4 linked regions of the Lepisosteus oculatus genome follow. Each later gene encodes a partner of the first gene's protein in a complex. Links are inferred from orthologs where the notes say so. Each region holds a gene or a part of one and is shown on either strand. Other genes may lie near its edges. The genes, in order: coa1, tmem186, cmc1 and surf1.

What was found.
Region 2: coa1 (region 1) and tmem186 share a complex: the UniProt entries of both Homo sapiens proteins name them as parts of the mitochondrial complex. The link is inferred for Lepisosteus oculatus from reciprocal best matches to the Homo sapiens genes COA1 and TMEM186.
Region 3: coa1 (region 1) and cmc1 share a complex: the UniProt entries of both Homo sapiens proteins name them as parts of the MITRAC (mitochondrial translation regulation assembly intermediate of cytochrome c oxidase complex) complex. The link is inferred for Lepisosteus oculatus from reciprocal best matches to the Homo sapiens genes COA1 and CMC1.
Region 4: coa1 (region 1) and surf1 share a complex: the UniProt entries of both Homo sapiens proteins name them as parts of the MITRAC (mitochondrial translation regulation assembly intermediate of cytochrome c oxidase complex) complex. The link is inferred for Lepisosteus oculatus from reciprocal best matches to the Homo sapiens genes COA1 and SURF1.

Annotation. Positions count from the first base shown.
Region 1 is NC_090701.1:24,137,053-24,144,621, reverse strand, and holds the start of coa1 (cytochrome c oxidase assembly factor 1 homolog), read left to right. Parts: upstream 1-4,559; 5' UTR 4,560-4,650; intron 4,651-6,653; 5' UTR 6,654-6,717; intron 6,718-7,569. UniProt on the Homo sapiens protein: Component of the MITRAC (mitochondrial translation regulation assembly intermediate of cytochrome c oxidase complex) complex, that regulates cytochrome c oxidase assembly.
Region 2 is NC_090714.1:13,662,912-13,669,034, reverse strand, and holds tmem186 (transmembrane protein 186), read right to left. Parts: upstream 2,164-6,123; 5' UTR 1,967-2,163; coding exon 1,964-1,966; intron 1,643-1,963; coding exon 932-1,642; 3' UTR 527-931; downstream 1-526. Other genes in the region: pmm2 (phosphomannomutase 2), read left to right, coding at 2,403-2,477, 2,867-2,978, 5,168-5,244, 5,471-5,562. UniProt on the Homo sapiens protein: As part of the MCIA complex, required for efficient assembly of the mitochondrial complex I.
Region 3 is NC_090705.1:40,611,375-40,618,905, forward strand, and holds the start of cmc1 (COX assembly mitochondrial protein homolog), read left to right. Parts: upstream 1-4,518; 5' UTR 4,519-4,625; coding exon 4,626-4,644; intron 4,645-7,531. UniProt on the Homo sapiens protein: Component of the MITRAC (mitochondrial translation regulation assembly intermediate of cytochrome c oxidase complex) complex, that regulates cytochrome c oxidase assembly.
Region 4 is NC_090719.1:7,896,119-7,903,711, forward strand, and holds the start of surf1 (surfeit locus protein 1), read left to right. Parts: upstream 1-4,576; 5' UTR 4,577-4,681; coding exon 4,682-4,744; intron 4,745-4,950; coding exon 4,951-5,032; intron 5,033-5,717; coding exon 5,718-5,845; intron 5,846-6,106; coding exon 6,107-6,189; intron 6,190-7,264; coding exon 7,265-7,456; intron 7,457-7,593. Other genes in the region: surf6 (surfeit locus protein 6), read right to left, coding at 526-1,218, 2,502-2,587, 3,038-3,259, 3,811-3,904. UniProt on the Homo sapiens protein: Component of the MITRAC (mitochondrial translation regulation assembly intermediate of cytochrome c oxidase complex) complex, that regulates cytochrome c oxidase assembly.

The sequences.
Region 1 (7,569 bases):
TTTAAAAATATCAGCCAGGATGCAATACCTCTGAAAGGATAAAAGGAATTCTCAAAATGTTTGTTAAAAGAATCTTTTTCTATGTCTTCCATAATGTTATAATATAGATCCACACAGCCTGAGCTAGAAAGGGAAACTGCCACCACTATGAGACTGGGAGTCAGGTTGTAGGACTGTATCCAGGGTCCCCCTTTCCTCTTGTGTGAATCACAACCCACAATGGCCCTGTCCATTCCCTTGAAAAACATTACTTCAGTTCTGCAGATAAGCTTTTCACGTTGTGTACGTCTATGTGAACAGAAAACATGCCTCAGACAATGACAGAAATTTCTATTTTAATAAATATTAGCACAGGAAATTATTACAGACACTAGAAGCAGATAAGATAAATATCTAGAGTATTCTACCAATTATTCTCAAAGAAACAAATGTTAGTCATAGACCATAATGAAAACTCTTCCTGAAGTCTGTTGAAACAGAGGTAATATCCGCTCACTGGAAAATATCTACCATAGCACTGATACATAATAATAGTGACCGCTCCATTTTATTGTAAAGCAATACAATATAGATTTTGTGCAAAATGTGCATAGGTATATACAGATTGAAAGTACCACAGTATAAACAGTATATTACTGCAGTGTCCAAAAATTACATTAGTGCAACATGCTGTCCATAGACAGCCTAGCCTAGGGCAGTGTTATACACCCTGACAGCCGCCGGGAGGAAGGACCTGTGGAAACGTTCCCTTGAACACCGTAGCTGGAGCAGTCTGTTACTAAAAGTGCTCCGCTGTCTAATAACAGTCCCATGTAGCGGATGAGATGCATTGTTAATGATGGCTGTGAGCTTGGTCAGCAATCTTCTCTCTGTCACCACCTCCAGGGGGGTCACGGCTCAGCCCCAAAACAGAGCCAGCCTTCTTGATGAGTTTATTGAGTCTACTTACATCTCTTGCCATGATGCTGCACCCCCAGCACACAACAGCGTAGAAGTTTACTCCTTAACAAACTTACTCCTGTTGGCAAACTTACTGAGCACATTACACTGAGAAGCAGAACCTTACTGGGAAGACTGCAGTAAAAATCTGAAATCGATATTTAAAAGGATTCACATGGAAAGACAAAACAAAAATCTTCTTAAGGTAGATGTCCTAAGGTAGATGGGCACTGAGAAACAGATACAAATTCTTGTAACAGTTCTGTAATGGTGAATTGGTAAACCCCAATTAACTTAAGTCATCTCTATGAAGACCAAAGACCAAATTGTCAGAAATGTTTTTTTTTTCTGTTAAAAACAAAACTTCACCAACTTCCACCCGTCACTCAAATATACAGTTAACATATCTTCCACTACTCTTCCGTTTCTAGACATCAACTTCTCCATTAACTATCCCTGACTCTCTACTTCAGTCTATTACAAACCCACTGATTCACACAACTATCTCCTGTATAGCTTATTTCACCCCAAACACACTAAAAACTCTCTCCCCTTTTCACAGTTCCCTCGGCTACGACGACTCTGCAGCGACATCGATTTCCAGAACCAACCCCTCAAAATGTACTCTTTTAGCATCAACAGAGGATACCCTAGCAGTGTTATTGACAGAGCCCTTGCCTGAGCCCAAAACATCCCTTGGACCATCAACTCAATCAAGAATTTCCGCCTTAACAACCGCATTCCTTTGGTGCTTCCCCACCACCCTCACTTCCTATCCCCAGGGCTATTAACGACAATTTTTCCATCCTACAGGATGATCCCTGCATTGGGGCTCTCTTTTCTGACCGAAACATCATCTCATATCGTCAACCACCTAATCTGCGTAACCTTCTTGTTCACAGCTCCCTTGACCGCCCTCAGCAACCATCCACACCAGGCACTTTCCCTTGCAACAGAGCTCGTTGTATCAGCTGCAAGAATGTATCTAACACCACACTCATTCAAGGCCTCTCAGAACAATTCCAGATCACTCGGATGACATCTTGTACCTCCAGCAACCTTATTTACTGTATTTCTTGCAGTAAACAGGAAGGAGACTCGGAGACTGCTTCAGAGAACGTGCCAGGGCTGTAAAGATTAAAGATTTCTCCAAGCCCATTGTTTCTCATTTCACCTCTGACGGCCATGATCACACTAATCTCTCCATTTGTGTTCTCAAAGCTGGTTTTCCTAATTCAAACATCAGAAAGACTACAGAAACTAAACGTATCCTGCAGTTAGGATCACACCTTTTTCCTCTCAATGACAGACTGATTTTCTTCTAAATTCTCTCTTTTCATTGTAGGTTTCATTTCACACCTCTCTTCACCTATCGTGACATCATACTACCTGATTGGCCACTTTGTCTGTCCCACGCTCCCACCTCTCGCCCCTCCTCTCTCCCAGCTTTTGTTCTCCTATGCTATATTACCTTTGCTTACTGCCCTGTCCTTCTTACACCTGAAGAAGGCTCCACTGCCAAAAAACAAAAAACATAGATGTACATACAAAAAACATGAATTTAGAAGTTTTAATTGCCACAGGATGTAGAACCAAGTCAAAACAATCTTCCTCCTCTGTTCTTCAGCTGAAGAAGGCTCCACAGCGAAACGTTGTTTTCTTTCTTCTCTTTTCAGCATGGAATAAACCTATTACTTGTTCCTTTGCAGCCTACGCATGCTGACGCAGCTACCCACCTGAACTTCCTCTTCTGTCATTTGTTTTTGTAAATAGTATGATGTATTTCGACAGTGCCTTTACTACAGGGAGCTAAATAAAAAGACTATTCCAGATTCTTAGCCAATTCCACATATTCAGGAAATCTTGGACATCTTATAATAATAATAATAATAATAATAATAATAATAATAATAATAATAATAATAATTGCTTACACTTATATAGCGCTTTTATGGACACTCCACTCAAAGCGCTTTACAGGTAGTGGGGACTCCCCTCCACCACCACCAATGTGCAGCATCCACCTGGATGATGCGACGGCAGCCATAGTGGGCCAGAACGCTCACCGCACATCAGCTATCACTGATAGTATCAGTGGGGAGGAGAGCAGAGTAATGAAGCCAATTCATAGATGGAAAGTCGTGGTGTTCGGTTTTAGACCTTTTTTCGACTTAATGAAACTTGGGATTTTATACAGACCCGAAAAATACTAAAGTAAAATATGTATTAATTCAGGTAAAGGGCTCGCTACAGTGCTGTACATTTCCATCAAACACTGCCGAAAAACCTGAAAGTACACCCAGGTCAAATGGTGAAGCCATCAAAAAAGTCGAAACACACAAAACCTAAAGCGTACTGTAGACCGCTAAAATAAATCCAAAACAAAGCCAAGACGAATAGCGACAAATCATTATCTTGAATATTCGGATTATCTTGTGAAGCCCTGTAAATTAATTGATCCATCACTGTTAGAACGCCTCTTATAACCTAAAAGGTCATTTCAAATATTTTTTGGACAACACTCGGATTATCTGACATCCACTGTCTCAAATGTTTCCATAAAGCAGATGACTCGTGCAAAGGAAAAGAGGTGCATACATCCACGACCTCAAGTGTGTCATATCCAACAACTGTCAAGCGAAACCTTTTAATTAAAAAAAATCTGCAAGCTAAGGGTTTCTGTCTGACCAAAGAAATTGACCAACATTGTATTAATAACTACTAAAACGCATAATACAGCAGTTTCACATCTCTTTCTGTCATAACTCAATAAACACCCGGGAGTCTCTTACAATATGATGTTTTTAAAATATATTACATTTCTACATCGGCCAAGGATACATCAATCATCACGAAAATTCATATAAAAACTGTTCATAACCCAATACTAATAATACCAGACAGATCTTACTTAGGGAACTCTTGGTAAAAGTGAGGCATGAAAAGCTAAACAAAACTTTTTACATACTTTTAACATGAGGACGCAGGCAGACAGTATTTAATAAAATACACTTTGGGTTATGTAACAATTTTACAGCTCACATTGATGCAGTGGCAAGCCTAAAACAAACTCTATAAAGAAACATTGCTTAACCGTTACCAAATATTAAATGTGTGAGTGTTTTTCAACAATACTAGATTAAAATAGACGAAATCAAACAAGATATAGACAATAAACTTAAAGACTGCATAAACCAATTTGCAGAGGTTACACAACACTAAAACTGAAAGCAGTGATGATGCATTCTTTATTTTTTCCATCTTTGCCATGTGGCGTTCATTAAAGCTATTCACCTACTGTAGCTTACCCGTCTTTTATCGTCCTTCTCTTCGCTGTCGCTCCTGTCAACTGCTGTAACTGATCGCTAAATGATGTAACTAATTTAGATACAACTTTCATAACTCGCACATGTCAAACAGGAGAGGTTTTCAGTGACGTAACCACACCCGGGCGTTTCTGCATAGTATCTCCTATCACGATATAACAAAAGGACTTAGGTCGGGGTGCATGGAGTAGATACGCAAGCCTTTTGATTACATAATGCCCCCTAGAACATTAATGATGTTTGGGATGTGAAAATATTTTAGTGTTAAGAAAACTGACCCCAATGTTGTGCTCATGTTAACCACTTAGCTTGTCTTCTTGTTAATAAAGATATGACATTCAAGACTAAAATGGCTGCCCCCTTGGAGGATGTGTAAAAAAATTGTGTAAGTCACTGTGCGATTTAAATGTCACTTATTCATTGACAAGTTTTGGTTTTTGATACAGGCACAATTCATGTTACCCAACGTGAATTCTGTTTATTTCGTTTTAAAACTAATTTAAATTAATTACGATGCAGACAACTCATATCTAGTCCAGCTTCTGTACTGGATTGATTTGATCATTTTCATAGAACCGTCTATTGCACCGTGTCACATTAATATTGATCTTTGATAAGATGATACTACATTTAACATGAGGTATACTAAAATGTTTATCGTAGCTCTAACGTCGGAATTACAGTATACATTTACTACAGTATAAATCCATGTTCAGCGCTAAAAATGTTAGAAATACAATACTTCACCTACCCCACAGTAGGTGATATTGGTATAGTGGTGAAACAAGTTTGGTGTCGACCAGGAGTGGGGAAAAATAGACTGGAGGATGTTAATTGTCCTTTTTACATGCTAGTCACTGGGGAAGGGAGTTAAGTCCTGAGAGAAAGAGAAAAAGGGACATCTTCTTGGATGGACACAAAGCAAAGATACAGAAAGGGGGATCTACCGTATCTATCTATTGTTATAAAGAAAAAAGGCAGGAGGAGGTAACTGTATCTGTCCACTCTGGAAGGTGTGGAGTGCTAGAGTATATTAAAGATGAAAGATTTGTCCATCTTAAATGACTACTTTTAGTGATCAAATATGCCTGTATATTTAAAATGATCTTCTGCTTGAAGACAACAAAGTCTTCAGATAAGAGGTGGTAATTGTGTAATTCCTTTAATTTTGACATGTTGTCATTACTTATTAGTGAATAAGAACATAAGAAAGTTTATAAATCAGAGGAAGCTAGTTGTGCACAGTTTTCTGACCTAACTCTTACAAGTGAATGGTAAGGTTTTAAATCAAATCAAATCAAAGTTTATTTATCCAATGCACAACAATACAGCGTGCAGCAGTAGTTGCTGGCAATGAAATGTCTTTTCTGCAAGCTCACGAAAATCACAAGAATCACAAAAATCACAAAAACACAAAAATCACAAAATTGAGGTTATGAAAATAAGGTTACATAATTATAGATGTAATAGAAATTGAATAAAACTCAATATGAGCAGAGCTGCTATGTGTCCATGGTGTATGCAGTATATGCAAGTAGTGCAGTTATGCTTAATACAGTGAAAACTTTGTGTCCATGTAGCCATTACAGGTGATTTGCTAAAGGAGCTGCAGGCAGTAACTTAACAGCCGTTGATTCAATTGTATGATATTATTTCTGTACTACTCTGTTTTCTGTTAATTTTCCATGTTGACTCTAAGCTTATTGCCATAGAGATAATCTTCCAGTTTAGTTCTTACAAACCGTTGCAGTCATCCCAATTTAAGTTCTTGCATCTAAAAAAAAACCCTTTACACCAGGAACCTTCTACTCCATCTCCCTTGTTTTATGAGGATAACAAGTCTCAGATTATCATAGTCTGATTAGATAGCTTCAGTACATGTGCTCTGGCCACTTTCCACTGGGTAGTAGCTAAATTTCATGTTCATGTAACCATGATTATTATTAGCCAATATTATCTGTCTTTCTATCTGTTCTTGATGCCAACACTGCCAACCCAACATGTTCTGCGGCAGCAATAGTATTTTTGTCCACTAGATGGCAGTACATCATAACAGTATAATAAAGGTTGACACTATTAGTTTCTTCCGTAACATAACGCCTTTTTTTGTCTGAACTTATCTTCCTGCTTTTTTTCTACAGAGGCTTGTCATTTTAAATGATGGTTGCATAAATTTAATATACTTAATATCATGCAAAGGTTTTCAGAACAACTTAAGCATTTGTTTGTAAACATTGTTTTCTGTATGTTGGTCCAAGCAATTTGAAAGCTGCACTTTCAGTGTGTAGTTTTTAATTATTCTAGGGAAAGAGATATAACCTTTCAGTTTAACACTACAGTAATTAATCTGGCAGTATCTTTTTCATTCATGCATTTTTCTCTTTGCAGGGTCAGGCGAAAACGTTATCTGGGTTTTTTTTTTAATCTGTGACTTGTAGAGCTACCAGACAAGGTAACCATAACTAGCTGGCATTCGGAAATCTCTTTATCATCCTCTTCTGAACTGAATTCCTCTTTCCTCCTTGAGAATATATTTTTTTCATTTCTAAAGAGCAGTCCGGTGTTTCATCAAACAAAGCTTTCAGGCAGTCTTTGGTGCAGGATAATTTCGTCTTCTGAGCTAATATGGAAAGCAATTTAATTGAGTAATGAAGAAGCCATTTTAGTAGTTCTGTATTTGTAGTAGAAACACAGATGTCACAAGAACATTCAACTGTAAAGTGTGTTTGTATTTCTGTGGATGTTCATTTTATCATTATCATTTGTTCCTGCTCGATAACGTAGAAAAACCTGTTTAGTGGAGCTTATATGATGGACAGTGGTCCAAAACAGGATCTGGCCCACACTATGACTTTCAAGTTAATAAGGTTAATACCTGTAAAGTTAAATGTCAAATACGGTTTTATTTCTTACACTAACAGCAGTACCAAATTGCAAATCGTAGTTGTGACCATCAGGAATTCTTAAATATCTTTAATGACTGTATATTTCACAATATCATTAGTACATGTAATATATAAACAATTTTAGGGTTTACACATGGTTAAAAAAGTTCCTCTACAATAAAGAGTTCCTAACATGTGGTATGTGCATATCATGCAATATATATGTCCATCTTATGAAAAAAGAAGCGTGGTATGTAGACACAGACTGATTAGAAAGCAAGATTCAAAATGCAAAAAGTTGCTTTAACCTGTATAGTTAATGATAACTCATTAGGGTGATCAGTACTAGACATATTTTCCAATATTTCTCCCTTAATACCTTAATGTTATAATGAAGTCTGACATTATGACATAATAAA
Region 2 (6,123 bases), on another chromosome or scaffold:
ACCCCTCTGCTTTTCCTAGTACCACCATCCACGGTCTCCTCTATATATTGTAATTGTGTTTTATCATGTGTATTCTTTTTATTTATTGTTGTTGTCATTCTGTAAAGTGCTATGAAAAGCCACCTTTAAAGGCGCTATATAAAATAAAGTTTATTATTATTATTATAAACTGAGATATGCCCATTCATGCAGACGGCACGGCTGTGGAGTGTGGGAGTAAACGGGAGCACCAGGCAAACGCCCACAAGGTAGCCGAGGACCCAGACAAGCTGGACAATCGAATCCAGCACACAGGTGTAGAGGCCGCAGCGCGGTCGCACCAAGGAAACCCAAGAAAAAGGATTCTCTTCCGCGCAGCACTCGTGCACATCCCATTTCAAGTGTGGAGTGGCGGTCAGGGCTCCGGCCTTGTAACCGGAAGGGTATGGGTTCAAATCCCAAGCCAGACATTGTTGGTGTAGCCATGGGTAAAGGTGCTGCTCCCATAAAATACATTCGTACCCATTTATAGCGCTAGGTAAGTCAATTTGGGTTAAATTAATCTTTAATTCATACACATACTTTAATTCATGATCTAATTAAGCACACAAGAAGGCCTTTTTTCAACACTATATTACATACCACCACTATATGCAAACAGTGTCAGAGGTCCAGCCCCCGACCCAGATAGGTCCTGTTCTTTTTCGGCATCTTCACCCGGCGGCTACAGATCAGCCTCCCGGCCGGAGAACGATTTGCAAAGCTGGGCCGTAAGGAAATGCCAAAGAGCAGCACCGCTACAGGCATTCCCAGCCAAAACATCCACGATTCTAGTCACTGCAATACTGGATAGTGGCAGTTTTCCTCCGACAGATTAAGTCAAGTGTTTCATTCTGCCGATCCTTCGCCTTTCACCGGGAAACCATTTTAAAACAATGCTTTCTTTGGAGTGTCAGGGGACAGGACCAAAGACTTCCACGAATGCCCGTTTGTCCACAACCTGTCCCAGGCGAATGGTGAAGTACAGGACCTCAGGGTGGCTGTAGCGCTTAAACCGCAGCAACATCTCATTGTGGGGGTCCCCCGTATCCCCGAGGGTCATGATATCCGCCACCGGGACATACTGATCCCGTCTTTGACCCCAGAAGGTCAGGTGGGATACCTTCAGGACGGTTTTAGAGTTGTTAATGTACATCATCCCGATGATGTGCCGGAGGTAGTGGCTCAAAGAGAACAGCATCACGGTGGCAAAGACAGCAACGCCTGTGGCGTAGCTGACGAGGGTGCCGGAGCACAGTCCCTGCGAGAACAGGTAGTATACAGGAGGCAGCGTAACCACGGTGATCCCAGTCTGGAGCAGCTTGAGTCGGGACACTGCCCTGAGGACCCTGATGGCTGGAAGCCTGTAGATCAGGGAGAATTTCTCATTGGAGCGGTTTTCATTGGAGCGGTCTTGGTGGGCTCCAGTTAGCAGCTGGCTGTGCACCCTAAGTGTGGTCCATACTGTGCGTTCCTGCATCGAAGCGAGGGGACGGCGTTCGTGCTGGTGAGGGGTGAAGGAACGGCCACCGACCAGACATCTCTCACGATGCGCTGAAGCAGAAGCGCCGGGCCACACACACGGCGAAGCACGAACGGTTCGCAGAGACAGTATTGATCTGTACTTTAAAGGAGATAAGCGGGGGAAAAGTTTGCTTATTATAGACTCGTGTACTTGACTAATTTATTGTTAATAATGAATAAACCCAAGCATGAAGGTTAAGACACAGACCAAGATTAACATGTCAAATACCACAAAACAGGTGAACTAGCTAACAGTATTCTATTCGACTGGGCTGTAATAAACGTGTCACAATCACAAACGTCTCTTCACACATATCAGAGCAACCCTCCTGAGCATAATAAAAGTATTTGCTAAACAATGCATCATCCTAAACGTAATTGCTTCAGATATTAAAAGGAACGATGGTGCAAAGTCAATTACCATCACAGCAGACCGAAGTTGCAAGCCAAGAGGGATGACATCATAAACGCTCCGGGGGGAAACAAAGCCTTCTTCGACAGAGTACCGAATTCATCGAATTCCCCCTGATCCTTATTTTTTTAAGAACGTTATTGAATCAAACAAAATCGTGTATATGATACTGCTTACTATTAACCGCAAAACGGACATACATTGTTTTTCTAGAGTTCGGTTACTTCAACCATCTCTAAAATAATGTCTTTGTAGTCCACATCCGGACTCGCTAGCTCATTTCCGCCGATGGTGAACCGAAACTGTACTACATGTCCCAGAGTGACACGTAATCTTTTCCTGGTGGAAGAGGTCTAGTGTGACTGTGATATTTGACTTTATTTTCACGTTAATCACAATCAAGACTATCTTTTCATTATTTGAAACAAGCAGTCAGACAGTTAAGAAAATGGCACCATCTGGGAAGGATACGACAACCCTCTGCTTGTTCGATGTCGATGGGACTCTAACTGCAGCAAGACAGGTGAGTTGTAAATATTTCGAGCTGGTTTTCCTGAAATGCTCGTTCTTCTTTGGAGAAGCTAAAGATGATCCTGAAAATGTGAAGGGGTCGTCGCGGGATGCTGGGGTATTCAGTTTCAGAAGGCGCGGATTAATGAGGATGACGAGAACGTTTAAATCAGCAAAAATAAAGACGTGTTTCCATTCTGATCTTTCCAAGCCAGTCACTCTGATGTCGAAGTGGCACCGTTGATTTTAGTTTCTGGCTAGCTTTTACGAACATATTTAGACAACACAGAAAGAAAAGGGAAAAGCAAACTGACTTAGAGTTCTTTGAACAATCAACAGTAATCAATAGTTAAAAATAGGGTTTTTCGTTCTTAAATTCTTATGAAACTTTCCCCTCCACAGAAAGTCACCCCTGACATGGATGAGTTTCTTCAGAGGCTGAGAAAGAGGGTGCGAGTTGGAGTAGTTGGGGGATCTGATTTTGAAAAGATCAAAGAGCAGCTCGGAGCAGATGGTGAGTATTGACAAGCCATTAATCATATTGATTGATTAATCATATTGCAAGTCAGTTGGAAGATGAGTGATGGTAATTTGCCCACCCTGAGGCAAAAGCAATACAATGACTTTGTTGTGATCTAGGTTAACTATCTGAAGCCAATCCAGGCTATTAATGCTGTTTTTTCTTTAATAATTATAAAGTATTACATTTAGCAGCTCCAGAATCTGTACAAATGCATGATATTTGTAGGAAGGTACAAGCAACCATACCTGCTGCTAAATGCATCCTTTGTTGTAAAGATATTGTATTTCACATTTGAACCTACACTGGGAACAAAGCCTTGTAAATCTAAGGTATTGTAATTTATGCCTATTTGATCTGAAGATTTTTGAGTGGAGGGGTTTTTAGTACAATTACCTCTCTGCAGGAAGGCTCTCAGGTGCTGGTCAAGACTGAAAGCCTGAGATAATGATCAGTGTAGCTGCAGTATTTGTAGGATATAGCATTAATAACTAAAGTATTAGTATAGTATTAGTAACTAAAGTAGTGTATACAAGGAGGAGAAAAAAAGGTAAATGTAAGAAATTCTGTGCATATGATTATATACGATCTCCAGTCTGTTCACTTTGCACAGATAATTATAAACCGCAATTTAAAATGAGCTGATGGGTTTTTTGACAGTCCAGACAACGTCATACATTTCGGGATTGAAAAGCGGCGAATTAAACTAACACCGCTTAAATCACGTTTCTTAATGAGTAATATGAAAATAAACTACGTGTAATTCATCTAGTTAGACATTACCACGTTTTTACACGCACTGTTACTCCAAACGATTGAGTGGTTGTAAGCGTTTCCGTGCAGAGCTATTAAATTTCCATTTAAAGAGATCTATTGGCATTACCAGTGGACTATAATTTGACCAAAGTAATGACATTTTCAAACGTTCAGAACAACAATTAAATGTTAATTTGAGAGGCTCACCGTGTATCTCAGCCAATCAGAGGGCTGCCTGTGATGGGCGTGACGTGGGTGTGTCCGCTGTGCGCAAACCGGATTGCAGGAGATTGAACCTTGACGTCTTTAAAGGTTCATTACAGTTCACCTGTTTGTTCCTGTTTTCCTACCACCATGTATAGGCGTTCAATTATAAAATCTGCATTTCCGTATTAAGAGAATAGGATTCATTTTGGGCCCAGTTTTTTGTTCAATAAAATACGAGACGATTGTGGTTTGCACAGCGTGTTCATGGGCAGGTAAACATCAAAAACGTCAAGAATAGCCCCGCAAAATATGCCAGCGCTATTAATAATCGTAGCTGAGTGTTCCTTATAAAACGTATATTGCCCTGACAGGTTGACTAACGTTTGTTCAAAGTGAAGGAGATGAAGGAGTTTAAAGAAAGCACAAAGTGACACTATAAAATACTCTCATCAATGTCTGCTCTTCAGAAGCACATAAATCGAGACCACGTTTTCCATGAAACATCAATATTCACTATCCAAAGAAGATTCAGATCACCTTTGTTCATTTTATAACATTTACTTGTTTTGGCTAATTAAGAAGTATTGTCCTTTGCCACAGAATGGCTAGTGAGATTTGGTGGGCCTGCAATCAAATTAGTAAACTACCCAGCTGTATAATTGGGTACAAGTGAAAGTTGCTTTGACTGAAAGCATCAGACAAATGAATTTGTAATATTTAATTCCTGCTCATCTGACTCTGCCCTGTGTTGGATTCAGCTGAGAAATCGTTATGAGAAAGGACTCAGTGAACACGGCAGGGGTGTGCTAATGGGCGAGATGAGAAGATGGGAATTGTGCACAGCACCCTGGAGGCCACAGCATCAAAGCAAAGCCTTCTGCCTGTACAGCTCTGTTCAGTTTAATGAGCAGGGGGCTGTCACAGAGTCTGTATCTCTGTGCCCAGTGCCTTATCAAAAGTGAAGAGCAGGCACCTAATGGTACAAGGAGTTCTCCTTCAGTTTGCTTATTTTGATATTTCATCTTGTCTAGTCGAGTACAGAAAGCCCACTCTGCCTCTTCTTCACAGCCCAGTGTCTCTGCAACAACCAGTGCAAATCTCCCAGAGAAGCTGTTGTGTCAGAGATGTTGGGCTAGAAAACCCAATACTTTCCACAGAGCTGTGCAGAAGGAGAGCTGTTCATTGCTGTTCTTTATCACTGAACCTTTTTTTGTTGGCAGTGGTGGAAAAGGTGGATTATGTGTTTGCTGAGAATGGATTAGTTGCCTACAGAGATGGAAAACTGTTGTCTGTTCAGGTAGGGATCATCTCCTGACAACCTTAAAACACAAACTGACACCGCTGAACTGCTAATACCAGCTATAGAGCACGGCATCATTAGAAATGACCATAATATACTTAAATCATATTAAGAGAATTGTCATGGAACATGTTGGAAAAATGAACTTTTTCCACACTGTTCTTTCTGTGATTTTTAGGACAGCTGAAGTGATCATTTGTTGTTGTTTTTTAATTCTTTTCAGAGCATTCAAGCACATCTTGGCGAGGAACTGCTCCAAGACTTTATAAATTACTGCCTGAATTACATGGCAAAGATAAAATTGCCCAAGAAAAGGTGTGATGGTCCCCAGATCTTCCTGACCACATTCGAACTGCAAACCATGGTCTTACTTAAGCTCTTCGTGCTAAAGCATAAAAATATAAAAAGGGTTACAAATGAGAGAGTGCAGTTCAGTCCATCCAGCCATTTCTTTAAAGCAGTCAGGGTGTCGGTTTCATCACTATGGCTGGGTAGCTTGTACCAGACTCCCACGACGCCTCTTAATCTTATATTTCAATGAACTTCCATGTAGTTTTTACGTTGTAAAACCTTCTTGTTTTAGTCACATGACTTTTAAATCACTTTTCTATGCCTAAAGCTAAGATTATTATGCAGAGTTCAGTTTGTTTCAGCCTTATCAGTGCCGGTGTTCCGGTTTCAAGTTCCACACATGAATACCATTTGTGAACAGCATAGTTTTAACAGGCAAATTGATATAGCCAGGCTGTTTGAAATTTGGTACTCTGTCTCTTCACGTTTGGAGCTTTGCTTTAATTAACTCGGCAGTCGTACAGGGCTGATTGACTCTCAGCAGGTCAGCTCGTAATTCGTGCTGATGACTTCCGTTTCCTCCCT
Region 3 (7,531 bases), on another chromosome or scaffold:
TGCTAGAATTTTTTTTTTCTCAAGGAAAGTTGTAGTGATGTAAAAAAAGATAGAAACCCACTTCCCATGTTGAATTCATGTATTTACTTTAAAGTATTTGCTGTGTTTGCAACCGAGCTTTTGTTAACACTGTAACATTGAGCAGTTACAGTTACTAGTGTTACTAGTAATATTATCAGCACCCACAGAAAACGTGCGATCGCTCTTCTGGACCAAGACTGAATTATCTCCTGTCATGGTCCAACACCTGCTATTTTGTAGAAAATATTTTTCCGTCTCAGAGCAGTGACATCTGCATTGTTATGATGGTTGTCTTTTATTTATTTAGCGTCTGTAGGTGGATAAGCTTGTGCTCTGCTTACGATGTTCTAAATTTGAGCTAAAAAATCCAATTTTATGTACTTTTTCTATTTCATAACGGCAGAGAACCCTTACGAGTTCTTTACATTACTGAAAAGCAAGGTCACTCAAACAACTGATAAAAAGCTACAATATGAGCCTAGAAACGTGAGGTGTGATGTTCCAGCACACCAGTTCTTGCTGAGAAGCTGCTCACCTGGACTGAAGCAAAAGAATTCAATGACTACAACATCCTACAGGGGAGTGGTATCGACTTCAGGCACACGGCGAGAGCTCAGATCTTTCATTTCAGATTGTTTGTGCCTTCGCGATGTAGAATTTACACCTGTGCTCTACGGTTCACTCCTCGTTTCATGAGTTGAAAATGTGGGCAGAAGCAAGGCTACAGATTCGTGGTAAAACCGAGACCGTGAGATAGGACACGGGCCTGCTCGGCCTCCAGTCACCCACTCTGTGGTGTACCTTTCATCTGAAGCCAGGCAGAGTCAAGAACAATAACGTTTTTCATCTTCTGGAACCTACCTCTACATCCTCTTTTGATAAACAAATTACACGGCCTGAATACCAGTAAACCCAGGCAGTTGAGGGCCTGAGAACAGAGTTTCCTATCCTGTCACATTGGTACAGTATATTGTGGGTCAGTCTACCAATCTGGACTTAAACATTCCTCGCGTACAACAACATTTTTTTAATACAGTTTCACCAGTTATTGTCCTCCTTGTAAGTGACAATTGATATTCGACCCAGCTTGGCTGTAACACTGCCAGAAAATGAAGGCATACAGTACCTGTAAGTGTAGTATGAAGAATCAAAGACGTGTAGTTTGTTTGCTAGATCGATTAATAATAATAATTAATAATTGCTTACACTTATATAGCGCTTTTCTGGACACTCCACTCAAAGCAAAGCATGGGTGTTACTCTGTGAACACGGGGCCACACTGTGGGCACTCTGGAATCAGTGTTATCCATCTAACCAGGTGTGACGTAGTTGGCATCAAGGTTTGTAGGGACAGCCCTACAATAAATTGGATTTAGGACCTCTGAATAAAAAACTGCCCCCTCAGTATTGCCCCTCACTATACAATTGGGTACAACAGGGCAATTTATCTGGTATTCATGTGGTTTAGGTTCCAACAGCAAGTGACAAGCTAGAGAGGAAGTCTCATTGTGATCAGGAGTACAGTGAGTTAGGTAATTTAGAAATGAATCTGAACTGTTCCATATCAGCCCATACTGAGCTGTATCTAACGAGACTGGGAAAGATGCCTGGCCTCGGTTTTGATCGGTTTGGCTAAACAGATCATCACGCAGAGAAATGCAAATCTTAGGTAGGTATTAATGCTGTCGAGCAATGACACTTGTGGTATCGAGCCTGTTTCCTGAAAGTCTGGGCTGTACTGGGTCTGGGTATGTTCTGTCCGAACAGTGAACAGATCATTCTAAATATGGGAGAACAAAAAGTGTAATTGTGAAGTAACGTTTAAAAACCAAAGAAAATGGGTGCAGAGTGGCTTCTTATTAGAGAGCAAGAGTATTCTTCTTTTTAGAGATTACAGCATGCAGCAGAAATACATTCCTCAATACAAGTTAGAAATGACCATAAGTACCTTATTTTAGGCACAACCTTAGACAACACCTTAGGAACAAGAAAGCTCTTGGCACCCCTCTACCATTATTTTAATCTGAAGACAGGACGACATCGCGAACGTGCTGGAAATGGAAGATGGAAAGTCTCCAAGCTGTATTGCATTCATGGGCTGGTGATGCCAGGCTGTTAGCGACCCAGATGGAGGACATAACCCTCACTGAAAGTTCAAAGCCCCCTATGTCGCTCCCTGAAGAGCTGATTCTAACTGCTGCCAGCAGAAAACCATTATAACATGCTATTGGCAGCACGGACCGCACAGAAAAAAAAGACTCATTCCAGTTTACAGAATCCGATCGTGTCCGTTCGTTCTATCACAAAGACAAGCACTAGTATTAAATGGTAATGCTAATTCTATACTAATACTAATTCTAAGCAATAGTAATAAATGTGCATAGCCACAACTCCTTATCTGAAAAGGCTAGTTATTTCCATTTACCAATACATATTAAACTTTGATCTGTGTGATTGTACAGCAAGCTATGAAAAAACAATAAGAAAGAACAAAAAGTTCTTGCAAATATTAGCACACTTATTGCTTCTGAAAACACTTGTTACCTTAAAAGAATTAGATCCCTGAAAATTTAAAGTATCTTGTGAATGGTTAGATTTTATTTCTATTTTACAGATTCGTTTATTAGATCACTTTATTGGCCATATACAATTTCTTGTATAAGGAATTTGTCTTTTTGCAGACCCCAGCTTGCTCTCCATGAGACACACAGACAGGGAGAGAAGTTTGGGGTCAGATCGCAGGGTCTGCCATTTATACGGCGCCCCTGGAGCAGATGGGGTTAAGGGCCTTGCTCAGGGGCCCAACAGAGTAGGATTCCTCTGCCGGCAGCAGGATACGAACCAGCAACCTACCAACCACAGGCACAGAGCCACTTATTGAGGTTTGTGGTATAGTATTACCTTACATTACTTGATTATACCTTCAACATATAGTTGTCCCTCTGGTACTTTTAGTATGCCTCCCATCAGCATGTCTTTGACGTTTGTAAATGTTCTGAAATGGATACAATGAATAAAGATTGCCTTTCTGCTGAGAACTGAATGGCCGAACAAGCAGTTTTACACTGCCATTCAATTTGCCATGTTTTAGCGACAAATTGTGTTGCGGATTAGTATGGATGGTCACAGAGATGACTTTGAATTGAAGATTTTATTCCACTTAAAACTCCACATGAGGACACTTTAAGCCCTGTTGCATATAAAAATAAATTAAAATCACACTACATTTTTAGATCAATTTAATCTGTCCTTTACTGATTTTATAATCCAAAAATCTATTTTCTCAAAATATAATTAAAGCATGTGACTGAAGCCGATAGTTTGTCTTTTTTCCCAAACACTGGCTAGATGAGATCGTTGGATCAATAAACTACACATTTCTAATAATCCCCATCTCTGAACTGGCTTCGTCACTCTGCTCTCCTCCCCACTGAGAGCTGGTGTGTGGGGAGAGTACTGGTGCATCATCCAGGTGGGGCTGCACACTGCTGGGGGTGGAGGGGATCCCCATTACCTGTAAAGCACTTTGAGTGGAGTGTCCAGAAAAGCACTATATAAGTGTAAGCAATTATTATTATTATTATTATTATTATGCAAAGGAACAATAGGTTTATTCCATGCTGAAAAAAAGAAGAAAGAGAACACAACGTTTTGGCCGTGGAGCCTTCTTCAGGTGTCAATAATAATAATAATAATAATAATAATAATAATAATAATAATAATAATAATAATTATTATTATTATTATTATTATTATTATGATCAAACTGGCCACATAGACCAAGTGAGTACCAGTCTTAAATTTTTGTAAACCAGAAAGAGAGGCACTGGGCCAATTGCCTCACAGCCCTGACAGATTACGACTACAGGGGAATCAACGTGTTGGGATCCCGGTATTGATTACATGACCGATCTGACGTCCATGCACAAATGAAACGGGGTAAATATTATTAATCAAAACACCCTCTAATAATAATAAGTTTCATTCTGGTCTTGTTAATTGCAACGATGCACTGCATTTAACGTCGGCGTCTTTCTAAAGGGCAGAAACGTTCTGAATGAAGCCAACATCAGCCTGCGTTACGCAATTACTCATCGACTTTTTTTTTTAACCGGTGAAAGATCCAGTCGGAGTTTCGTTTTCTGAAATGACCAGGAGGGAAGAAAAGTAACGCACCTAAAAAAGGGGTGCTCCCTGACCGCATTAAACGTCAGCATAGAACTTGATCCGTGTAACATTAATGTAAGGGTATACTGGCGAGGTAAAACGTTTTAAACTCTGGGTCAAGTCTCGGCTCTTAGGCGGCAGAGGCAGCTGTTGTGCACCACTCCGCTTACTTTCTTAAGGCGTTTTTTAAGGATGCTATTAACCTGTATCGGGACACCCGCTCTTGCACAACCCGGAGTACCTGCCAGCAGGGCTTGTGCTGCGCATCCCCACCGGCGCAGCTCCCGTCGGCACCGGAGCCCCGGATTGGCCGAGCGGCGCCCGGGGAAGGCGGGACTTCTGGTGCGGATGTGAAAGGTCACTTTGAAACCAGCATGGTCGGTGCGGACGGGGGACTGGCTTCTCGTTAGCAACCCGAGATTCAAATTCCTTTACCCATGGAGTCAGCCAAAACAGGTACCGTAAACATTGCGCGACGTCTCATAAAGGGCTGGAGAAAAAATGCTGGAGTTATCGCCGGAGTCCCCTCCCCCCCTCACCCCCCGTGCTGTTTGAAACATTTCATATAGCAAACATTTGTAACAGCATCAGGGTGTTCAAGACAGTTCATAGAGCCCGTTCAAATGAATATTACTGGCATGTCATTCGGCCCTTATGATCAGTTCTTGGTGATGGTAACGCAAAGCCTTATTCGTCTTTTAGGATTGCGAAAAAGGCACAGTGGAGTAGACCCTCCGGTGTCAGATGGTATGGCGCTTATCGTGTTTCTAAACTGCGGTTGTTTACTATGTGAACTTCTTTACTGCGTCCTTATGACGTGTTTTGGATACTTTAAAAAAACAACGAGCAGTTTGCGCGACACACGATCTTTTTGTGCGGGTGGTTTTACAATTGGGGTGTCTTACCTGCAGATATCAGTTTTGCTGTTCAGATGGAAACATTGGGGTTTTTAAAAAAATGTTTCGGGGTTTCATGAAGTTAACACAGAACAGGGCAGACACCCTTTTGCTGTTTAAAGTCACCTATACAAACACTGTAATAAAAGGAATAGACAAAGTTCATAGAAACATTGTCCCCAGCGCTTTTGAAAGGCCCGATTACATTATCAGGTGATTAAACGTGTTGTAATCATTAATAAATTATCTTGGGAATATGCATTGCTTGCTTCAGTACCAACAATAAAGTAAGAAATGTGATTCTCCAGGCCTGATTCTGATATTTGACCTAAAACCCTTCAAGGAAGAATATCTGAATGTGTGTGTCTTATTACCTCATATAGTATGTGCACAGCTTCTGCAAGTAAAAACAAAAACTCCCCAGAGCTTTTTCTGATGGTCTCGCTAAATAATATAGTTTCCTGTGACATCAAGAAGCATAAACACAGAAGCACTGCAGCCACTAAGAACTGTAGGTCAACCTCAAGGAGCTGCTTGACCTACTAGCCTGACCAGAGCTCTTTCCATCGACCAGAAAGATATGTGCAAAAGCAAGAATGAAACGTAATTTCAGAATGGTTTCTGTGTTGTCTAATCTGTCTGTGTTGTTTGTACTTCCATGTCACCTGAGCGTTGGTGTGTGCTGTCATTCATTCCAGTTAAGGGCATCTGTTAAGCACATGCTAGTAATAATTGCAAGGGGCTGATGGTATAGCATTTTAACCCGGCTGCACTCGGGCTCATTCAGTTCAATCCAGTACTCGTCTATAAGGCAGTTGTCAACACTTGAGTTGTTCCCAGCAAGGTATTGCAGATTTCTAAACCTGAGCCAGAATAACACTCTCCATAGGCTAGAAATGGGAACCTTTTTTAAGCTGGGGAGCCTATAGCAGGACTTGATCTAATTACAGGGTCAATCAGGGATATCGATGACTGGATGGGGGCAAACTGTTAACTTTTTTTAAACCATATTTCCTGCAGTCTGCAATGAAAGTCATGAAGAATGCTGCATGAACAAGGGAGATCAGTCAATATTAATTAGCAGCATACAACGTCAAAAGCATTACATTATGTAGTAAATAAGCATTTCGCGACATAGTCAAGACTGTCCCAGACAATGCAGATATTTTCTGAATATCGTATTGCAAAAGTAATAGAAGTTATGTTAAAATGCGTAAATGCGTGGTGTGTGAGTTGTCATGCAAAACTGCTCTAAAATGAGCAATCACAAGGCACAATACAATAAATCTGAAAACAAATGTGCTTATCTGGCATTGCGCATCACTGATCTTGGCCGCAAGTGCCTTATCTTTTGTGTTTGTAGTTGCACACAATGGTTCACGGTACTTGTGTGCAGTCACTATTAGCCATCCCTCAGATCAGGTGTTAAACTGAGATCATAACTGCTGGGTCTGGAGCAGAGGTTCCCAGTGCTGGTTTCTGCTCCAGCCATGACACAATCCGGCCCTTCCTTGACTTAAATATTACTGCCTTCATAATGTGATTAATTTGAGCTGTTTGTGCCCAGCTCTTAAACGTGCTGGGAGCTTTAACCATTGTTGTTTTGTAAGTGAAATAAAATCCCTGGTTTGTGACTGGAAACAAAATGCTGTTTTTGAATCAATTGAAGCAACTGCTTAGATCAAGTAAGGCTTCAGTGATCTAATGTAGGCGGGAGGGAATGAAAACTAGCCACGAACTAGATCTTAATGACGCTGTTCCTAAGAGCAGAGGCGTTAACCCTGGTGTCCTGACTCAATTCCCCAGTTTGGCCTACTGACACTTACCTGTTCATGTCAACGGGGCAGGAAGTCATCTCTCAGCGCCTCACCTGACCTGCTGTGCAGAGGAGCTGCTGGCTCAACACGAGCGCCCCATGTCTCCCACAGGGGTCCTGTGCTTCAGGGAAGGATGAGGGTTGTACCCTCCTATACGTAAAGCATTCCAAGCCCCTTCAGGAAGAACGTTCTGGAATTACTGTTTTCCAGTGCTGTCTTAACTGTATTGTCTTCAGTCTCTAGTGGCTAGTGAAAAAATACACATAATATAAATATGAAATATAGCGGTTCGGTGACATGCTATATAGCATGCGTGGTCATATAAAGTTGTAAACTACTGGTAAGACAACCCTTAATCATTAAATCTTACTCTGTTTTGTAGTTTTGTGTGGTAGAGGATGGCTGAGTTTGTAGTCTTAAGATCAAACATGCTGTTATGGCTTGTCCCTTCTGGGCAAGGTCAGAAAACAGTATATTAAAGGTTCCAGATGACAGGAGGCCGTTAAACGAATCTAGCCTCTTTGGTAGTTGGTAGCTAATTGGTCTGATTATCTCTTCCAGACCTTTCTTCAAAGAAGCCAGGGTTCTGTCTCCAATAAAATAGCTGATTAGCTTGTTTCAAGCTCCCTT
Region 4 (7,593 bases), on another chromosome or scaffold:
AACCTTTTATTTCAAACTTGTCTTCCACTTTTAAAACAGCAATTAAGCTTTATTTACTGTATTCCTAAAGTGCAACTTACTGTGAAATAATCGACGGCAACTGGCTGACATTTTTCCAATGCTGGCACTACCTACCTCCTATCTACTGGTATTAACACCTCAGTCTCATAAGACAACTACAGATGACAAAAACAATCTTCTCGCAACATGAAGGAAATAAAATTTCCCAAAGTGTTGTTATCATTTTTTTATTAGCCTATTCACATTTTTTTTTTTAAAAAACGAGTCTTCTCACTCCTGTACTGTACATGTTGAAACAGTAGATGTACACAACTCTGGTATGGGGGTTTGCTATGAATCAGTGGGAGTGAGCTGCCACCTTCAGAGGAGACCACCACACAGCGGCAGTGAATGACATTTCCCACAGGACGTGGAAACAAATTAAAACCATATTTGATTAAGTGGGGGGGGAAATGAGCTGGCCCAGAACGATAATACTGTGCTTCGTTCACATTCCCGTTGGGCCTACTTCAGGTCCTCTGGTAGGATCCGGCCCTTTTTGCGGGCTCGGTCCTTGCGTTTCTCCGCTTTGCTTTGCTTCTTCTTCTGGATGTTCTTGCGCCGCTTGTCCTGGCGGTTCTGCATCTTCTCCAGCACGTTCTCGCTGCGCTGCTCCCACCGCCTCTTCTTCTGGGCACGCATTTTCTCCTTCCGCTTGAGGGAGCGGCGCAGGAGCTCCTCGTTGTCCTTGATCTTCAGGCCCTCGGCCTTGTACAGCACGTTGGTCCACTTGATCTTCTCCTCCAGCTCCTTGGCCTTCTCCTCGTCTTTGCTCCGCAGCTCCTCCACTTTTGCCTTCCGGGCCTCCACGCGGTCCAGGAGCTGCTTGTAGTTCTTCCCCGTCAGCGGCGTCACGTTGCCCTTGATCTTCTTCCTCTTCTCCTTCTTCTGCTGGGCTTTGCTCACGTACTCCCCGCTCAGGTCCACCTTGTTGAAGACTATTGAGGTCTCCGCTCCTCCTCTTCCTCCGGTGCCACCTGGATTCTCGACTTTCGCCCCATCGCCCTTGGACTCCTCAGCTGTCTCACCTTCTCCGGTTTTCTCTGCGAGCTTCTTCATCCTTATCTCTTTCCTCTTCCTCTTCTTGCGCTCCCTCTCCTGCTTTCTTCGTGCACGTTTCTTTGCCAAGTCTTCAGCTGACAGCCCCTTGGAACTTCCCTGAAAGACATAAGGCAGCGATTACCCCTCCTTACTGCCGCCTGCACCCCTTTGATTCTCAAATGCTTTTCTCACACCCCTTAGCAAAAATCACTGAAGTAATTCAGTTCTTTAAACCTCAGATATCTCTTAACTCTACAGTTGAATCCCTCTCATTGTACATTTATTTTCGTTTTGCAGTAAAATTGAAAAGACATGAAAAAAGACACACTTCTTTTAAACTTAAATGCCTGGGTTTGATGAAAGAATGTAGCTTACGTGCTTGTGCTCAATTTGTTTAAATTTTGTTTTAGCCTTCTGCACAATCTGGCATGTCTCACACCCCCAGAAAGGGTGATGTGTAGAACAAGTGTCTCCATTCCTGATCCTGAACCCCAATCTACCCTACTCCAAGCTCCAATCCTGTTGGTCTCATTTCTAACCCCGACTCATGATTTTCTATAAAAGATTAAAACCACTTAAACATTACTGATCAATTAAACAAGTAATCTGGTCCATTAATGAAACTCTAGAAGATTGAAAAGTCCTCAGTATCCTTTTTCCAAATGATCTCTATATCACTTTACAAAAATTGCTTGTTTCATTCAGTTTAGTTGTTCCAGATCTTTAGGGTCTAGGGATAAGCAAAATCCTAAAACAATCAGATTCCAAGCTGTCTGGGTGTGTTTATTATCATGGTTCAGGATTTATAAAGAAAGTAAAATCTAAGAGTACTACAGAGTAATGAAAAATTAAGAGATAAGAGAGATGCCCGGGAAGTGAGATAATCATATCATTTTCTTGTTTTTGTATGTTTTTGCAAACTATGCAGTCTAGTGGCTTGACGTAGGCTTTGTGCTCAAATGTATATTAAGATGCTGCCTGTCCTTGGTCAGTAAGATAAGGGCATGTATTTGGTAAGCTGGCTGTATGCCCAGAATATGAAAATAACTAACTGTTGTCTAGTCTGCAACTTAGATATAATTAATTGGCAGGTGTTGCTGTCTTATCATTTATTTGGAATATGTCATTGTAACTCTTTGTGTTTTAAGGTATAAAGGACCATCTTCAGCTACTTATTTTTTAAGTCTGGTGGTTGCAAGCCGGACTTCCATATGCATATGAATAAAGGACTTCTGCTTCACAGACACCTAAACTTTGTCATTTGTTTGACACTACAGTAACTACAGATAACAGAACAGTGAAATCTTAGGCATCTAAAACTGCTGCATTCAACATTTTCAATTAAACAATTAAATTATTCTCTTTAAATATGGGAACATCCCTAGCTGAAATATACATACATTGCCACGGGACTCTTCAATCTTTTCATGCAGTCTCTGACGCAAAATATCCACAGCAAAAAAGGAGTCAGTGGCAGTCTTTGCATCTGTAAAGGAAACGCAACACCTTCAAGACTAGTACCACCTGCCTAAACAATTTTAGGATTGTTTTCACTTGAATTACATAAAATACAAAACAACAATGGATAAAATATGAATCACAAAAGCTGTGTAAACAACAGCACACTGTCAAACTGATGGTCTGAAAAAAACATGTTCATACTTTTACATAAGATTTATAAAAATACAATAACTAAAAGCAAGTTGGACCAGAGACAAAATTAAGTGAGTGGACACTAAACAATATTTTCCAACTTTTGAGAGGTTTGAGGTTCCCGACCAAAATAACAAAAAATAAACCTAACAAAGCTATAACATAGCATCAACATCCAAAACTGTCAATCATGTCTTTGGTGCTACTAAATTACACTGTTGTTATTTGAAAGCTGTCAAAGCAAGAGCTTTCAAATGACTTCATACAATATTTTAATTCTCACCTTTGGGTGCCTGTGCTGTCTTGACAGCTGTCCCATTCAGAACTGTCCCACTGGTGCCATCAAGCACAGTGGTCTGAGCTTTGCTGGATGCTGGCTGAGAAGATCCTTTCTTTGTGGTGTTCACTACAGGCTTCCTTTGCTTGGCTTCTGAAGTCTTTTTTCCATTTGGTTTCTCCTTTTTTTTCTTCTTTGGCTGATCTGCCTCCCGGCTCCTGTATGGAACTAGGGCGTTTTAATAATAATGTTGGTTACATTTGGTAATGTTTCTTACTGAAGTGTGTATCAAAATTAGAACGTAGGATATATACTCCATGTAACAGTGCAATAACCTAAAAAAAACAATCTAATTTATATACTGCGGAGAATGGAACAATCTCCTTGTGACCTGTATAATCTCCTGATATCTGTTGTGTTTTCAAATTGCTTTAGTTATGACAAAATACCACACTGAGATGAGACTCGTGTTCATGTACTGACAAATACACTATAATATATAATAGACTGCCATGAAACCTGACAAGTAGTCAATCATAAAAAAAAAATGTTATAATGAGGCCGTCCAGTCTATCTAGCTTGGCTGCTAGTAGCTAATTGGTCGGAGAATTTCATCCAGATGATCCTTGACGTACCAAGGATTTACAACAATGTAGCTGGGCAGCCTGTCTCATAAACACACAACCGTTAACCTCTGCCCTTATAATGAAAACACGAATAATGTCTATAATTATAATGGTCTCCTAATGTGTAAAAGAAAAGAAAAACTGAAATATTACCAAAGGGTCGTTTTCGCGGTTCTTGATTCTGCGTTGCACACACTTTACTTGCTAGTTTTTGAAGGTATGCGTCCTTTGAAACAAGACTCGCCATTTCTTTAAAAAGCCAGAAAGACAAGCAAGATTTAGAACTCATTTTACACATGAAAGGCGTTGACAGGCTCAACATTTCGTATAATAAGATAATAATGTGTTAATTAACCGCATTATGTTAAAGTTCTTTGTTTTACTGAAGTACTCTTGTATTTCTAGCAACTATGTTTAAAAGTGTTTCAGAAAACCTGAGAACGATTACCACTCAATACACGTGTATCATAAAGTGAAGCTCAACTGAAATGCTAGACTTGTGTAACTGGGGCTACCAGCTCGATCTCCAAAACATATATTCGATCGGAAAAATTCGTTAACAATAAATATCAGTCGAGCATGTTACCTTCTTGTAATAATAACAGTTATCAAGCAGTTTACACAGTTCCCAATACCTGCGTGTAGTACAAGCGATCTTCTGTTAAAGGACCCACATGGCAAGACGTAAGCAATCGAAGCACGCCATCATCGAGCAAACACAAGGCTGGAGAAACAGAAAACGTTTTTTTCCTCTGTTCCCCTTCGGCTTGTTTTTTTTTTTAAACTAATGATAACGTACAACAGATTAGCTAAACATAAGTCTGCCACTTTTACAGCCGTGATTAACCATGCTGGACTTGATTGATACAGATCGAATTCCGCTTCGAGCTAGAGACGGATGAGGAGGAGCTATGCTTTGCTGTCGGAAGTAGTTACTGTATCACCAGTCCCCGGAAAACAACCTTGTGGCCGTACAAATGTGTCTTCAGATATAGTTTGTACTGTAGTTTGCTTTTTCGCCAAAATGAGTAGGATCAAATTAGTCTTAATGTCTTCTACCAGAGCTCTGATGATTTTAAGAAACAATGTAAGTAGTTACGCTAGTTTTGCATAAAATTAAATGATATAAATTTGAGCGACATTGTAATGTGGTCTCTGTTTACATGTAGGTTATGCAATTTTTTTTTACAAAGTATTACTGTTTTTCACGACTAGAGTAAGCAAAGGCGAGCCTGTCCTCTTATTCTATAAGAGATGTAGGGTGATGTCGTGCGTTTTTGAATGTTGTTTCAGACCCATCACTTATGCGCCAAAGGGACGGTTTGTGGACGACGCTTCGGTTTTTCCACGCTTCTTAATTTAAGGAATTGTGAGGGTAAGGTTTCTTTCTTGTTCCTATCAGGAAGGGGAAAGTTCCTGAAAAGCCGTGTCTGTTTGAGCATTTACATGCTGTACAATTTGAAATGGTAAAGAAGAGGCGAATTTGATATTTCTCCAAGGGGTGTCAGGGCTTACTTAGGTAATCAGCACAAGATTCTGCTGTTGGGTTTGAGGTGGCCTTAAGTACACTACCCAAAGTATAGTACTGGGTTCAGTTCTGACCTTGAGAGACTGTCTGTGTGGAATTTTGCACGTTGTGCTCCTATTTGCAAGTTCCCTTCCACCTTCCACAGATATGCTGGGTGGATTTGTTTAACGACTCCAAATTGTAGAAACTGCGGAGGAGCCTCCCGGATAAGCCCCACCTAGCTGTGACCCTCAGGAGCACGAACTTACTGAAAATGAATAGGTGATGGTTTCCAAACAAGTACTTTTAACTAAACAACAGGAAGTAACCCAGGTTTGCAGGTGGTGTTATAACCTGATTTCCATACTCAACATTGATTTTTTTCAGACTTACATTTTGTACATTTGGTGAATGTTCTTGTATGCCTGTGTTTTGGGATTAAAAGTCTTTGTTTGAACTGATGTTTATGACAAGAGTTTAGTTGCATGGTCAGGCTCTATCCAGGCTCAGTGTCTGTTTTAGAAGTACCCGCTGCTCTTGTTTCTGTCATTAGGGAGGAATGTCCGACCGTACTCACAGTCCAGCCCCACAGCGGCTGAGACAGAGAAGGGAAACGACACCTTACTCAAATGGTTCCTTCTGCTGATTCCAGCCACCACCTTTGGCCTGGGAACATGGCAGGTATACCGACATTTTCAGAAAGCTATACGCCACACACATACCTATCATTAGATTTTGAATTGTAGTTTTGCACCTACAGTACATAATCCTAAATCATAGCAATGACACACTGCCAAAAGCTAGTTGACCATTTCAACTGTAGTACAGTTCACCTTTGCATATCTCTACCAGTTTCCTGATTTGCGGATCTGAGAATGGTGCACCGCGTGTCATTAATGAAGGAGAACATGGGAAGAGATCTTTTTTTTATTTTTCCTTCAGGTTCAGCGGAGGAAATGGAAACTAAAACTGATCGAGGACCTGCAGAGCCGGACTGCTGCAGAGCCGATTGACCTCCCTCTGGAGTAAGTGGTGGAGAATGCTGCTACGAGCACTAACAACACTAGGCCTGGAGAGTCGGTGTGTCTGCGGGTGTTCATTCCCCCCCCCAGCTCTTAACAGATCAGTGGGACCAGTTAACAGCTTTTCTGACCTCTTTAGGTGCTGCTGCTTTGGACAGACTCAACTGCCCTCTAGGGCCAGGACTGCCACCCCGCTGTTACTTAGCTAGGATATTACGAACATTGGTTCGTAAGATCAAATTTCATCACTTCGTACATACTTGTGAGCTCTGTAGGTCCAACATTAAAGCAGTTATACAAGCTGCAGTCCACATATCAAACGCTTTATAGCCAGCAGCCATATCACCCTGCAAATCACAGTTGGCAGCCCACTGAAGCTCAGCAGGTGTGAGCCTGGACAGTACCTGGATGGGAGACCTCCTGGGAAAGCAAAGGCTGCTGCTGGAAGAGGTGTTAGTGGGGCCAGCAGGGGGCGTTCACCCTGCGGTCTATGTAGGTCCTAATGCCCCAGTATAGTGACGGGGACACTATACTGTCAAAAGGCACCATCCTTTGGATGAGACATAAAGTTGAGGTCCTGACTCTCTGTGGTCATTAAAAATCCCAGGGTGTTTCTGGAAAAGAGTAGGGGTGTAACCCCGGCATCCTGACCAAATTTCCCATTGGCCTTTACCAATCATGGCCTCCTAATAATCCCCATCTATGGACTGGCTTCATTACTCTGCTCTCCTCCCCACTTAGAGACGATGTGTGGTGAGCGTACTGGTGCACTATGGCTGCTGTCACATCATCCGGGGGGGGCTACACATTGGTGGTGGTGGAGGGGAGTCCCCATTACCTGTAAGGCTCTATATAAGTGTTAGGAATTATTATTCTTGCACGCTTGACACCTTGATGAATTAATGAAGGCATGCATCTCTGGCCTCTGATCTAATAATTTTTAGCTTCTTCTGCCATTATCCTTGTTTCTTTCAAGTATCTATAAGGCGTGAGGTGAGCACGGCTGTCACTCGGAGCCGGTGTTCGACACTGGGGTTGCGTATTCACCGATCGCCTCTGCGCGTGCCTGTCTCCCCAGCCTCCTGGAGCTGAAGGCCCTGGAGTACCAGCGGGTGAAGGCGCGCGGCCGCTTCGACCACTCGCGGGAGCTGTACGTGCTGCCGCGCTCCCCCGTGGACCCCGAGCGCGAGGCCCAGGAGGCCGGCAGGATCATGTCGAGTGGAGGGAGCGGAGCCAACGTCATCACACCCTTCCACTGCTCCGACCTGGGGTATATAGCGCCGATTCGCCTGCTGAAAACATCCTTCTAATGAATGAGCATGGAGAAGATACAATATGGATACAATATGCTTGAAGGAGGGCATTTCTGAAGCTTAATGGAGTAGTTTTCCTCTCAACGACTGTTCG